3 linked regions of the Xenopus tropicalis genome follow. The protein of the gene in region 1 purifies or fractionates together with the protein of each later gene. This does not show direct contact. Links are inferred from orthologs where the notes say so. Each region holds a gene or a part of one and is shown in the gene's direction. Other genes may lie near its edges.

Region 1 (3,657 bases):
CTGGTGACAAACCGCTCCAAAAAGGAGCGGTAATCCAAAGTCATGAGAAGTTACCTCCTGCGAAAACTTTGCATGGCTTCAGAGTACCGAAGCGATGCAAAGGGCTTTCCGCAGGCGACTCCTATTGTTGCTGGTGGAAAGCCTCTTTGGAGCGGTTCTTACCCTTAAGTTAATTTTTAGTATGTTATAGAATTGTCAGTTCTAACTATTTTTTTTAATTATTTGCCCTCTTTGCAGCTTTCAAATTGGGGTCAGTGACCCCAGCAGCCAAAAAATATTGCTCTGTGAGGCTACAGTTTTAATGTTGTTACTTTATATAACTTATATTATTATTCTGGTCCTCTCCTATTCATATGGAATTAAATTAATTTGGACCCTAACAACTAGATTGTTGCTAACATTCTAAACTGGAGAGCTGTTGAACAAAAAGCTGAATAATTAAAAAAAAAAAAACCACGAATAATAAAAAATGAAGACCAATTGCAGTTGGCTCAGAATAGCTCACTACAACATACTAAAAGTTAACTCAAAGTTGAACAACCCCTTTAAACATATTTAGCAAAACTGGCAAATAACATTTCTAAAAACATATATAATGAGCATGTATAATGAACCAGCACCTATGAACCCAACATATAGACACAATAAGGAAAAATCATTGCCAATATAGCATACCACTGTGTTTTCATGCTCACACTAAATCATTGCCCCAAAGTTTTCTTCAAAAAAGTTAGACAAATGGCACAAACAATACTTGAATGCAGAAAACTGTATAATGTTGTGTTTCAGGAACCTTGTGTTTTTTACTTTACTAGTGTATCATGAATATGTGCAGATGCACAATCACACAGCTTAATATTTGCACTGGCATATTCTGCTAACATAAACAATTGCTGTTTAGTTAAGGCTGATGCCACACGTGGCGTTTTTATGCTGCGTATTTTCTAATTATCTCAGCGGCTGAAAAACGCCCGATATCATCATCCATAGAAATAACTTGAAAAGACTTGAGGCAAACCACACAATGCGTACATACGCTAGAAAACGCCTTAGCACGGATTTTTTAAGCGTTGGCTGAAATACGCCAGTACATTTGCACAGCAAGCTATTCCTATGTATACACAAAAGCAGCTGCCAGACCTAGCTGAAATACGCTGCGTTTTTTACTATTTTGCACTATTAGCACCATGGGAAAGGGATTTGCTACGTCACCAGTACTAGGCTGAAAAACGCCATAGTCAGGGGCTGTGTGGCTTGTGCGGCGTTTTTCGGCTGAAAAAAAAACGCAGCGTAAAAACGCCACGTGTGGCATCAGCCTAACGTTTTAACATTTGATGAACAGCAGCTTTTATTTGGTGCTAATTACAGGTCCAAAGGAATCTTGTTTGTGTTAATTTCATTCTTTAATTTTTATTTGATTTAGCTGAAACTTGTATATTGGTTTTGAATAATTTTGTATGCCATGCACCCACAATATTGGTAAAATATTTACAGTTGGGATACTAATTGTAGTAGAAGCATTTATTGTAACCAAATGTTAATTCATGACAGAATCCAGGAGGAGAGGGATGAACGTCACAAAACTAAAGGTAGAACAAGCAGATTTGAACCCCCTCAAACTGACACAGATACACAACGGAGATTAAGTAAGTAAATTCTTCTCCACTGTACACTTGCACTTTCCCCCTTTTGCTGCAGGGGGCTCCTAAGCAAATATTATGTGTTATGTATATACTTTCATGTTTTATAGTGTAAATATTTCAAGCCTGGAGCCAGAAGGGCCCTAAATAAATGAGAAATTTCAAAATATCTTGGTAGAAAAGGTCAATTTACTAACGTTATGGGGGCCGTAAATTGAATTCGCAATAGGGTCCAGTAACATCTAGGTACGCCACTGGCCTGGAGGGTTTTTTTTTTCTGTTCCAGTTCTACAAAGATACATATTTGGCATTAAATTTAGAAATATGTCACTGCTGCCTAGTAGAAGGACAACTAGTAGCTAAATGGACCTGTCGGGGAACTGCAGTTCATTAAACCTTGTTTAAGGGCAGACCTGTGACTGGTAGTCTTCTCCTGGTGCGGGACTGTTAGCACAAGCTCATTTATTGTTGCCTCAATGATGGTGTTTTTAAATAAAAAGCAAGTGACTTTTATTGTCATCTGGAACAACGGGTGCGTTTCTGAATGATAACCATTTGTACTTCGATTGTGCTTCTAGTCAAAGGTAATAAAGTAATAATTTGGAGAGATCTGTTCCCTTCACGTGCACCATACACTATTACTTTTATATGATCACCTCCATACCTGTAAAGATCATTTGGCTGAGGAGCCTGTCATTAGTTCAGTGGATACAGCCTGCCACCAGCAAATTCGTGGCTGACCACTGACCAGTTTGCATGAAATCAGTGTTGATGATTTACACTGGCTAATAAATATCAATGTAGAATACACTGTGAGCCAATAGCTTAATAGCTGTGGCATGCACAGGGTATTATTCCCTGAAATATTTAAGAAATGGCTGAAAAACTCCTTTTTTTTTAAATTGTAAGCACATTTATTGTCACCTTTCATCTTGAAAATGTGTGGGAATTGCTGTGTGAGTAATTTTCAAAATTCATGATGACCCCCTCATGAGAATAAGCCCTAATTATTAGAATAAGTACTAGCAAATGTTCTATACTAGCAAAAGCTCTATACAGTAGAAATGTATTTTCTTCTCACCTTTACAATGTATTGGGTTCAACTAATTACTACAAAATTATGATTTTGCTGTTGCAATAACTTATATTTTTTTTCTTGTACAGTGGACACACCATCTTCACGAAGAAGCAGATCTTCTGGTGGTAACATGTTTACTTTAAATTAAATTGATGATATCATTTGTTTTAACCCTGTAACAAATTCTTATTTCTTTTTATTTCAGCCCTTGATGATTATGCACCTGGGTCACATGATGTTGGAGATCCAAGCACCACTAATTTATATCTTGGGAATATCAATCCTCAGGTGAGAAATGTGTCGTTAGAGAGGGTTACATTACATTAACATTTATTTATAAAGCGCCAACATATTCCGCAGCGCTGTACAATAAGTGGGTTACATACATTGGACATACAGAGTAACATATAAAGCAATCAGTAACCGATACAAGAGGGGAAGAGGGCCCTGCCCAAAAGAGCTTACAATCTGAGGGTAATAGCAAATATATATATATATATATATATATATATATATATATATATATATATATATATATATATATATATATATATATATATATATATATATATAATTATACAGGGAGGAGCACACCCTATACAAGTCCAAATGCCCTTGGTGCAGGTCAAAAAACAAAAATATAGTAGAAAGAGTGCCGCACACAGGGACTTGATACAAAAGAAAAAGTGGTTTTATTGAAAAAATTCCAACGTTTCGAGCACAATCTGTGCTCTTCCTCAGGGACAAATATATATATCTATTTCAAATTGTTTGCACTCTCTTTAAACATCAAAACTCTCACATGGTTGGGTGCTGCATATAGTTGTATTAGATATCTCTCACCGAAAGTACTGCGCACTCCATTAATGTCCATTATAAAAATACATCAAATTGACGATTCGGTCCTGGTCTGGGAACTTAATCAAGATGTTACACACA
Region 2 (3,657 bases), on another chromosome or scaffold:
CAATTGCAAATTGTCTTAAATATCAATGTCTTTGTCATACTAAAAGTTATTGTAAAGACAAACAACCCTTTTAAGAAATTAGTCATTTCCGTTGATTTTAAAATTGTTTGTAAATGTAATTGCTATATAAAGAGTGTCTGTTTTACAGAATTACAAACGTTCGCAGGGCATTGTGAAGAGATACAAATTTAATATTTAAATAATGTTTTCAATTTTTAGCCTTGTGAACAACCACCATTTCCTCACCACCCAGCACCTCCTCACTGTCCACCATGGAGCAACAGTCACGAAGGCATGTGGAACGAGCAGCGTGACCCCAATTGGAACAACGAGCCTGAGCCAGCTTGGAACAATCAGCGAGAGCCCCCATGGAATAATCAGTTTGATGCTCCTTGGAGCAACCAGCATGAGCAGCCTCCATGGGGGGGGGGTGGTGGTGGTGGTGGTGGTGGTGGTGGCGGCGGCGGCGGTGGTGGTGGTGGGCAGAGGGATCCCCACTTTCGCATGCAGCGTCCACCACACTTCCGAGGCCCCTTTCCACCTCATCAACAGCACCCACCTCAATTCAACCAACCTCCGCATCCCCATAACTTTAATCGGTTCCCCCCACACTTCATGCAGGAAGAATTTCCACCACGGCACCCTTTTGAAAGGCCACCTTTCCCACATCGATTTGATTTTCCCCAGGGGGATTTCCCTGCAGGTAATTTCCAATAGTTAGCATATTATTTATGCAATATCCATATGCACCGTAAAATAGGAATTGGTAAGAAACAGGACCTAGCATTGATTTTAAAGTAGATAAAAGGCCATCTAAAGCCCTTAAACATGATATATTTAGCATGTAGATAGTGTGCAGACGAAAACTTATGAGCTTCTCCACCTCACTGATTTAAGTGTTGGTTCACCTCAGTCAGTATGGTAGTAGCTTCTTCTTGGAGTCTGTTCTAGTCTCAGCTGTAATACAATACCTTGCCAGCTTTATATTTTATTACATCTGCTTCTCTTTTAGGTAGACATTAGATATGAATGTGCAAATGTCTGTTCCTGTTAAAGCGATCTTATCTGTAGTATTATTTTGTCTTCTAGATATGGGCCCACCTCATCATCACCAAGGTCACAGAATGCCACACCCCAACATGAATGAACATCCTCCGTGGGGGGGACCACAACACCCAGACTTTGGCCCTCCACCTCATGGGTTCAATGGACAGCCCCCTCACATGCGCAGACAGGGTCCTCCACACATTAACCATGATGACCCCAGCCTGGTCCCCAATGTACCATACTTTGACTTACCGGCTGGTCTGATGGCCCCTTTAGTTAAAGTGAGTTTTTTTCCTTGGGAAAATCTTTATTAGCTTTGTAGAAGAACTGAAAATTGGCTGGTATTGTATTTGCTAAATCACTAGTCTGTTTATGACTAAGTAGATTTCTTGTGTATGTCGCTTTGCAATGTGCTAAATATTGCAGGGTTGTCCATTATTGAGTAATACGCAGTCATCACCAAGCATGAATTATTGTGATTCCCATTTGCTTTGAAGGGGGGGTGGGATGGAGTTTTGGAGTAACAAAAGGCTAGAAGTCTGTGTGCCATTACAATTGAAGGTTATGCATTGAGTTAATGTCCTGTTACACAGAAAAGAGCGTGGAAGTGGAATGTAAATCCTTTTGCAAAGTATGCATCTTCACCCTGCATCTCTGATGACCTCTTTTGCAGTTGGAAGATCATGAATACAAACCCCTGGACCCTAAGGATATTCGACTTCCTCCTCCAATGCCCCCAAGTGAGAGGCTCTTGGCTGCTGTTGAGGCATTTTACAGTCCTCCTTCACATGACAGACCTCGTAACAGGTGTAGAGTCAGTTCCAGCAATACCTTATGTAGGAAGTGTTAGGCTACTGCTTACAGATTTACCAGTATACAACAACTAATATAAGTGCTGACTCACTTGTGTGTCTAGGGGTATAATAATCTTCAGGCTCGTAATATATTATAAAAAATGTATTCCTTTGTTCAATGAACAGGGTAAAGCATAGATATTTAATACAGGTTCAGTTACATAAATTATTAGCACAGGAATGGAGACAGCACAGCAAGATGTTGAATGCTACTACCCTAAAACCCTACTACTCTAAGTCCAGATATTTAGACTTTTATCCTCAAATCATCTGGGAAAACCATTCCTTCCAGGATAAGAACAGAGGTGTTACTTGCTTTTAGAATGCATAAAGTGTATATCTTTTAAGTAAGAAGTTTTTGGCAGAGAGAAAGCTAATTTAGCAGTGTCTGTATAATACTGGACAAAGCTCAGGCACAAATTCAAATGTTCCACACACTAAGGTTGCACTGGGGTGCCAAAAGTAAAGCGTTCACATCCCCATTTCAAAATACAAGAGTCCCAGACAAATTATGAAAAACATCATGTAATCACTATAATATATATTACTTATTTAGCTGCAATTTTCTTGTTGCAGAGACTTATTAATTAAGTGGAAAACAATGAAAATGTTCATCATTAAAGGGATTCTGTTTTTTTTTTTTTTTTTTAAACATTGAAACATAGTAAGTTTATTTATAAAATATACAGCTTGGATTCTATGCTCTGCTTATGTCTAGTGTGGGTAGAATGACATACCCTATGACACCCTATGTGTTTATGAAGAAAGTAGGAGCGACACGGAGCTTGCTGGCCCATGCATAGTTAAAGGTAATCCCGGAGTATCTTTAACTGCTAGTGCTCCGTGTTGCCGAACTGATCGTAAGAGAACACAAAGATTCAGAAGATGGTGCCTGCTAGTTCTGTTTTTATAAAACACATCAGTTAATAGCTCTCCTCAACAGAGTCCTACATTAAAATCTGTTTTTCAAAAGTATATATATATATTTAATTAATTTTGACATGGGGCTAGATATGTTTTTAGTTTTCTAGGTGCTCTCAGCCACGTGCTCTAATAAACTTTAGTATCTCTTTACTGCTGTACTCTTTGTTGGAGTGATACCCCCCACCTGCCTTCCACCCCCAACAGAACAATGGGCAGGTAACAAGATAGAAGCTTCCTGACACCTGCATTTCTAAAAATGCCCCATGCCTCACCTAGTGTTAGATGTCAGAATGCATTTAGTAGTGAATATCCAAGTCCTGCTCACCTGTTATGACTCCTTCAGTTACATTCAGTTGGAGAAACAATAGCTTATCAGTTCTATTTTGTACTTTTGGCTCTTTCTAAAAGTCCAGAATCAGGCACAGTAACCTAAGATGGCTGCCTACACACCAATATTATATATAAAAAAAATTTGAGAGAATCCCTTTTAAAAATCCTCTGGTTTTTTTTTAAGCATTGTATCTACTTATTCTGAATTTATCAATGATGTGTAATCTGCTTTCCTTGTTTAGTGAGGGTTGGGAACAAAATGGCCTTTATGAATTTTTCCGAGCCAAGATGAGAGCTCGGCGTAGGAAAGGACAAGACAAGCGCAACAGGTAAGTAACATCTAATATATATAGTGCATAACCTTTTTTTTTTTTTTTTTTTAAATAAAAAAATCTATTTTTTTTTTTGTAAAGGTAATACACTGTGGGGTGGACTGGTAATTTAATTAACAAATAACAAAAACCATTTCATAAGGCAAATCAAATTTAATGGAACTAATGCT
Region 3 (3,757 bases), on another chromosome or scaffold:
TCTAAGGGGTTGGCGGTTAATTGCCCCTGCAGGGGGCAATTAACTGGCCCAAAAATCCCATAGACTTAACATTGAGGCCAACTTTGACGGATTGTAGCGCAGAGAGGGAATTTTTTAGAAACATGAAATTTACCACATTTGAAGAGGTTTGCAACCTGTGTCAGAAGATACCCCGCACAAGGGTATATGTTTTACCCCCGGGGCAAGAGAGGTCCTCAAATTTGCCCCATTGACTTATAATGGGGATTTTGGCAAATAATTAGTTTGTCGTAGACCCATGAATGAGGTGTCAAACCGTGCGGCTTATTCAGGAATGGGGTGCTATGACTTTTCTGAGGGGTGGGCGGTTAATTGCCCCAGCAAGGGGCAATTATCCGCCCATAGACTTAACATTGAGACCAAATTTGAATGAGTCCCGCACCGTTTGTTGTAGACCCATGAATGAGGTTTCAAACCATGCGGCTTATTCGGGAATGGGGTGCAATGACTTTTCTGAGGGGTGGGCGGATAATTGCCCCAGCAGGGGGCAATTAACCACGTTTGTCGTAGACCCATGAATGAGGTGTCAAACCATGCGGCTTATTCGGGAATGGGGTGCAATGGCTTTTCTAGGGGGTGGGCGGTAAATTGCCCCAGCAGGGGGCAATTAACCGAACTGAAGGAAACATTGTAATATTGGGGCACGAGTTTTGCCACGGCAAGCACCACTCACATTTTCTTCAGGAAATGTACCTCTCTAGTTGATTTCATTGCATTGCTGCTAATAAAACACCTACCTAATTTAGGGACTGCATACGTTAGCTGCGGCTCTTTCAATCGTTCGCATGCCTTAAACCCCCCCCTCCGTGTGGCATAAAAAAAAAACTTTTGCCCCTGTATAAACTTCGCGGTACCGAGGCTATGAGGATAACCGAATGCGCTGGCAACGTCCTTTCAGGTTTCTTCCATGCCATACATTTAGGTCTACGTCTCAACTATCTGACGCCGAAGCCAACTCCATGGCAACCACGCACTCAGAGCGTCTGAGTGGAAAATCAACGTGGTTCCGCAACGCAGTGTGCAAGTTACATCCTGGAATATACCATTCAACAAAAAAGGGGGGTAGGAAGTGACGCGCTTACACGCTATGGCATTAGACTAAAAAAAAGGAAATATGTACAGTTAGATTCTGTAGTTGTTTCTATTGACTTAAGATAAAGACTATGTATGCTACGTTTTTGCAGGCGGAACGCTGTAAATAATAACACTCAGCTGGGATTATCCACGAGACGCCTACCTTGATTCTGCGCAGCCGCCATTTTGCTCGTCTGCCGAAGTTACCGCTTCTGTCCTTGTTTGTGGGATTGGAGTGGGCACCATGCCGGCCGGACCAGTGCAGATAATGGCGCCGCAGACACCGGACGGAGGCCAGGTACGGGACTCTGCATCGCGGCAGAGGGAGATAGAGGTTCTCCGATTATTCAGGGATTTATGAAAAAGAGTAGGCCTTGGTCATGTGGAGTAATGATCTGTCTAGTCTATTTCTCTGAGTAAATAAAACAGGTTCATCGTAAGCAGTTAAAGCAGTGGGTCTAAAGCTGAAATAGTTAAATAGTTATAGAGCTAAGGTTCGCAGAGCGTTGCCTGGGGTGGGGTGTAGGGTAGACGTGCAGAACTATGCTCTATGGGGATCTTTAAGCAAAAACACTTGCATAATGATAGAAAATGAAAGAAGCAACTGTACAGTGTATTTAAAGAAATGTTAGACGTTATTTGTAAATATAATTGCAGCTACAAGTGGTATTTGTTTTGACTCTAAACATTGTATCAGAAGTTCTAATTTAGCTGACTTCTGTCGTATTGTTTCAAGAGTCAGAACCAGAAACGCAGAGAATGCGAGCAGCCACTCAGGTAGAGTTTTCAATAACATTTGTGTTTACAAGTAATAGTCAATATAAAGCAAGTCTGTAGGGCATTGGATGGGCCTTAAATTTCAAGTCTTCCCTGGAGTGAGATGCTGCAGCTTGTTGGTAAGGGCTGTTTCTGCACTGCATATTCCTTACCCCGAACTATAATGTAAGCCAGAGATCTGACAAATTTTAGATGATATTGTATTTTTCTGCTAATGAACATTCAAGCCTGTGACAGGTTATACTGCCCCTTTGAACATTTTCCAGTCTCTGAGGTGTCTTTGTCTGAGGCATCTGCTGTTATTTTATGTTTTTTAAACATATATTTGTAATACAGTGCAGTTAAATCTTAGACAGTGTGGCAATTATTTTTCATTATATGTGTGATGGGCCAAGATACATTTTTATTTATATTTTCTGCACATTAATTTGTCATTATGTTTATCACTTTGTTTATATTATTTTGTTTGTTTTTTTTTTTTTTGCAGCAGATGGAGGAGGAGAAGAAAGAAGAGGTAGTTCCATCCAAGCCTGTTGTTGGAATTATTTACCCTCCTCCAGAAGTCCGAAATATAGTGGACAAAACCGCAAGCTTCGTAGCAAGGTGCCTCCTAAAATATATTCTTGTTGTAGATAGTTTTCAAATAAATGTTTTTAAATTTGCAGTTATGTACTAATTTAAAGGACTAGCAAAACTGCACACAGGAGTGTATCAGTTTGTTAGGCATCCTCCAGTAAAAGAAATCGCTGTTCTTTTACCTTGGGCCTATGTGCCTCTTTTATTCTTAAAAACAAACAAGCCTGGTTCACAGTTTCATGGAAGTGGTGATAGTATTGCTAAACATAGTGTGGAAATTTTCTGGTGTTTAGCACAATCAAGACATGGGTTTAACACTGCATAAAAATTTTGGCAGTTTAACAGAAGTGTTGAGGTAGGTAGGCAGGGGATGAAGCCCTGAGCAGCAGGAGGAGTTAAGTTTAATATTTTAATGTCCATTCTCCAGCTGAAATATGTACATCCCAAATCATATAACCTTTATGAAACCAATTAAACCATTTCCCTGGTAGTTATAAGGCCACTATCAGACATTGCATGAAAAAATCTTATAGATAAGATGACACATCAAATTTTATATAATATCTTTAAAAAAGTATTTCCCTTTCCCATAAAAACACGAATTGGATACATAATATCTTTCAATTCTTGATTCTAAATGGAATACAAGGATACAAGAAGGGGCCCCTTACCTAATGCTGACAATTTGCTACCAATTAGGGATAAAATAAGTAATGGGTATCACCCAAGTATATTTTTGTGCTTGGGTGATAGCCCATTACTTATTTTAGCACTAATTGGTAGCACATTGTCAGCATTAGGGAGGAGCCCCTCCATGGTTCCTTGTATTCTATTTAGAATCAAGAATTGAAAGATATTATGGTGAAATGGAATAATGATGGCTTTTTAGAAAGTGTCATTAAGGCTAATGCTCTACATAGAGATTAGTTGCCCACGATAAATCTCTGCACCCGTGGAGAAAGGCATACGCATCACTCATCAATCATTTTCCGAAGTCGCGCAAACTTTCCTCCTGCAGGCATTTTGGGGAGATTAGTCGCCTGTGGTACCAGAGATTTATTGTGGGCAGCTAATCTCTTCTTGGGACATTAGCCTAAAGCCAGTTAAGAGACGGTGCTATTGACATTTATCATGTTCAGTATTTATCTACTGTTAATCAGATAATGAAATATGTGTAGGCCTTGAAGCCTGTTGACAAAGCTTTTGGATAGTCTTCTAATATCGATGGTAATAATGGATGGGTAAGTAGATTTGTGCAGAGTTGCTTTAAGTATTCAAGTTTCCTTAAGTC

What was found.
Region 2: the proteins of u2surp (region 1) and cherp purify together in Homo sapiens (affinity purification with mass spectrometry; 4 studies listed by BioGRID and IntAct, with this or other methods). This does not show direct contact. The link is inferred for Xenopus tropicalis from reciprocal best matches to the Homo sapiens genes U2SURP and CHERP.
Region 3: the proteins of u2surp (region 1) and sf3a1 purify together in Homo sapiens (affinity purification with mass spectrometry; 4 studies listed by BioGRID and IntAct, with this or other methods). This does not show direct contact. The link is inferred for Xenopus tropicalis from reciprocal best matches to the Homo sapiens genes U2SURP and SF3A1.

The regions. Positions count from the first base shown.
Region 1 is NC_030681.2:119,895,690-119,899,346, forward strand, and holds part of u2surp (U2 snRNP-associated SURP motif-containing protein), read left to right. Parts: intron 1-1,551; coding exon 1,552-1,646; intron 1,647-2,804; coding exon 2,805-2,840; coding exon of another isoform or gene 2,841-2,843; intron 2,844-2,923; coding exon 2,924-3,006; intron 3,007-3,657.
Region 2 is NC_030677.2:112,300,160-112,303,816, forward strand, and holds part of cherp (calcium homeostasis endoplasmic reticulum protein), read left to right. Parts: intron 1-219; coding exon 220-703; intron 704-1,089; coding exon 1,090-1,328; intron 1,329-1,720; coding exon 1,721-1,854; intron 1,855-3,397; coding exon 3,398-3,484; intron 3,485-3,657. UniProt on the Homo sapiens protein: Involved in calcium homeostasis, growth and proliferation.
Region 3 is NC_030677.2:144,334,761-144,338,517, forward strand, and holds the start of sf3a1 (splicing factor 3A subunit 1), read left to right. Parts: upstream 1-1,008; 5' UTR 1,009-1,101; intron 1,102-1,114; exon of another isoform or gene 1,115-1,223; 5' UTR 1,224-1,357; coding exon 1,358-1,447; intron 1,448-2,377; coding exon 2,378-2,493; intron 2,494-3,757. UniProt on the Homo sapiens protein: Component of the 17S U2 SnRNP complex of the spliceosome, a large ribonucleoprotein complex that removes introns from transcribed pre-mRNAs.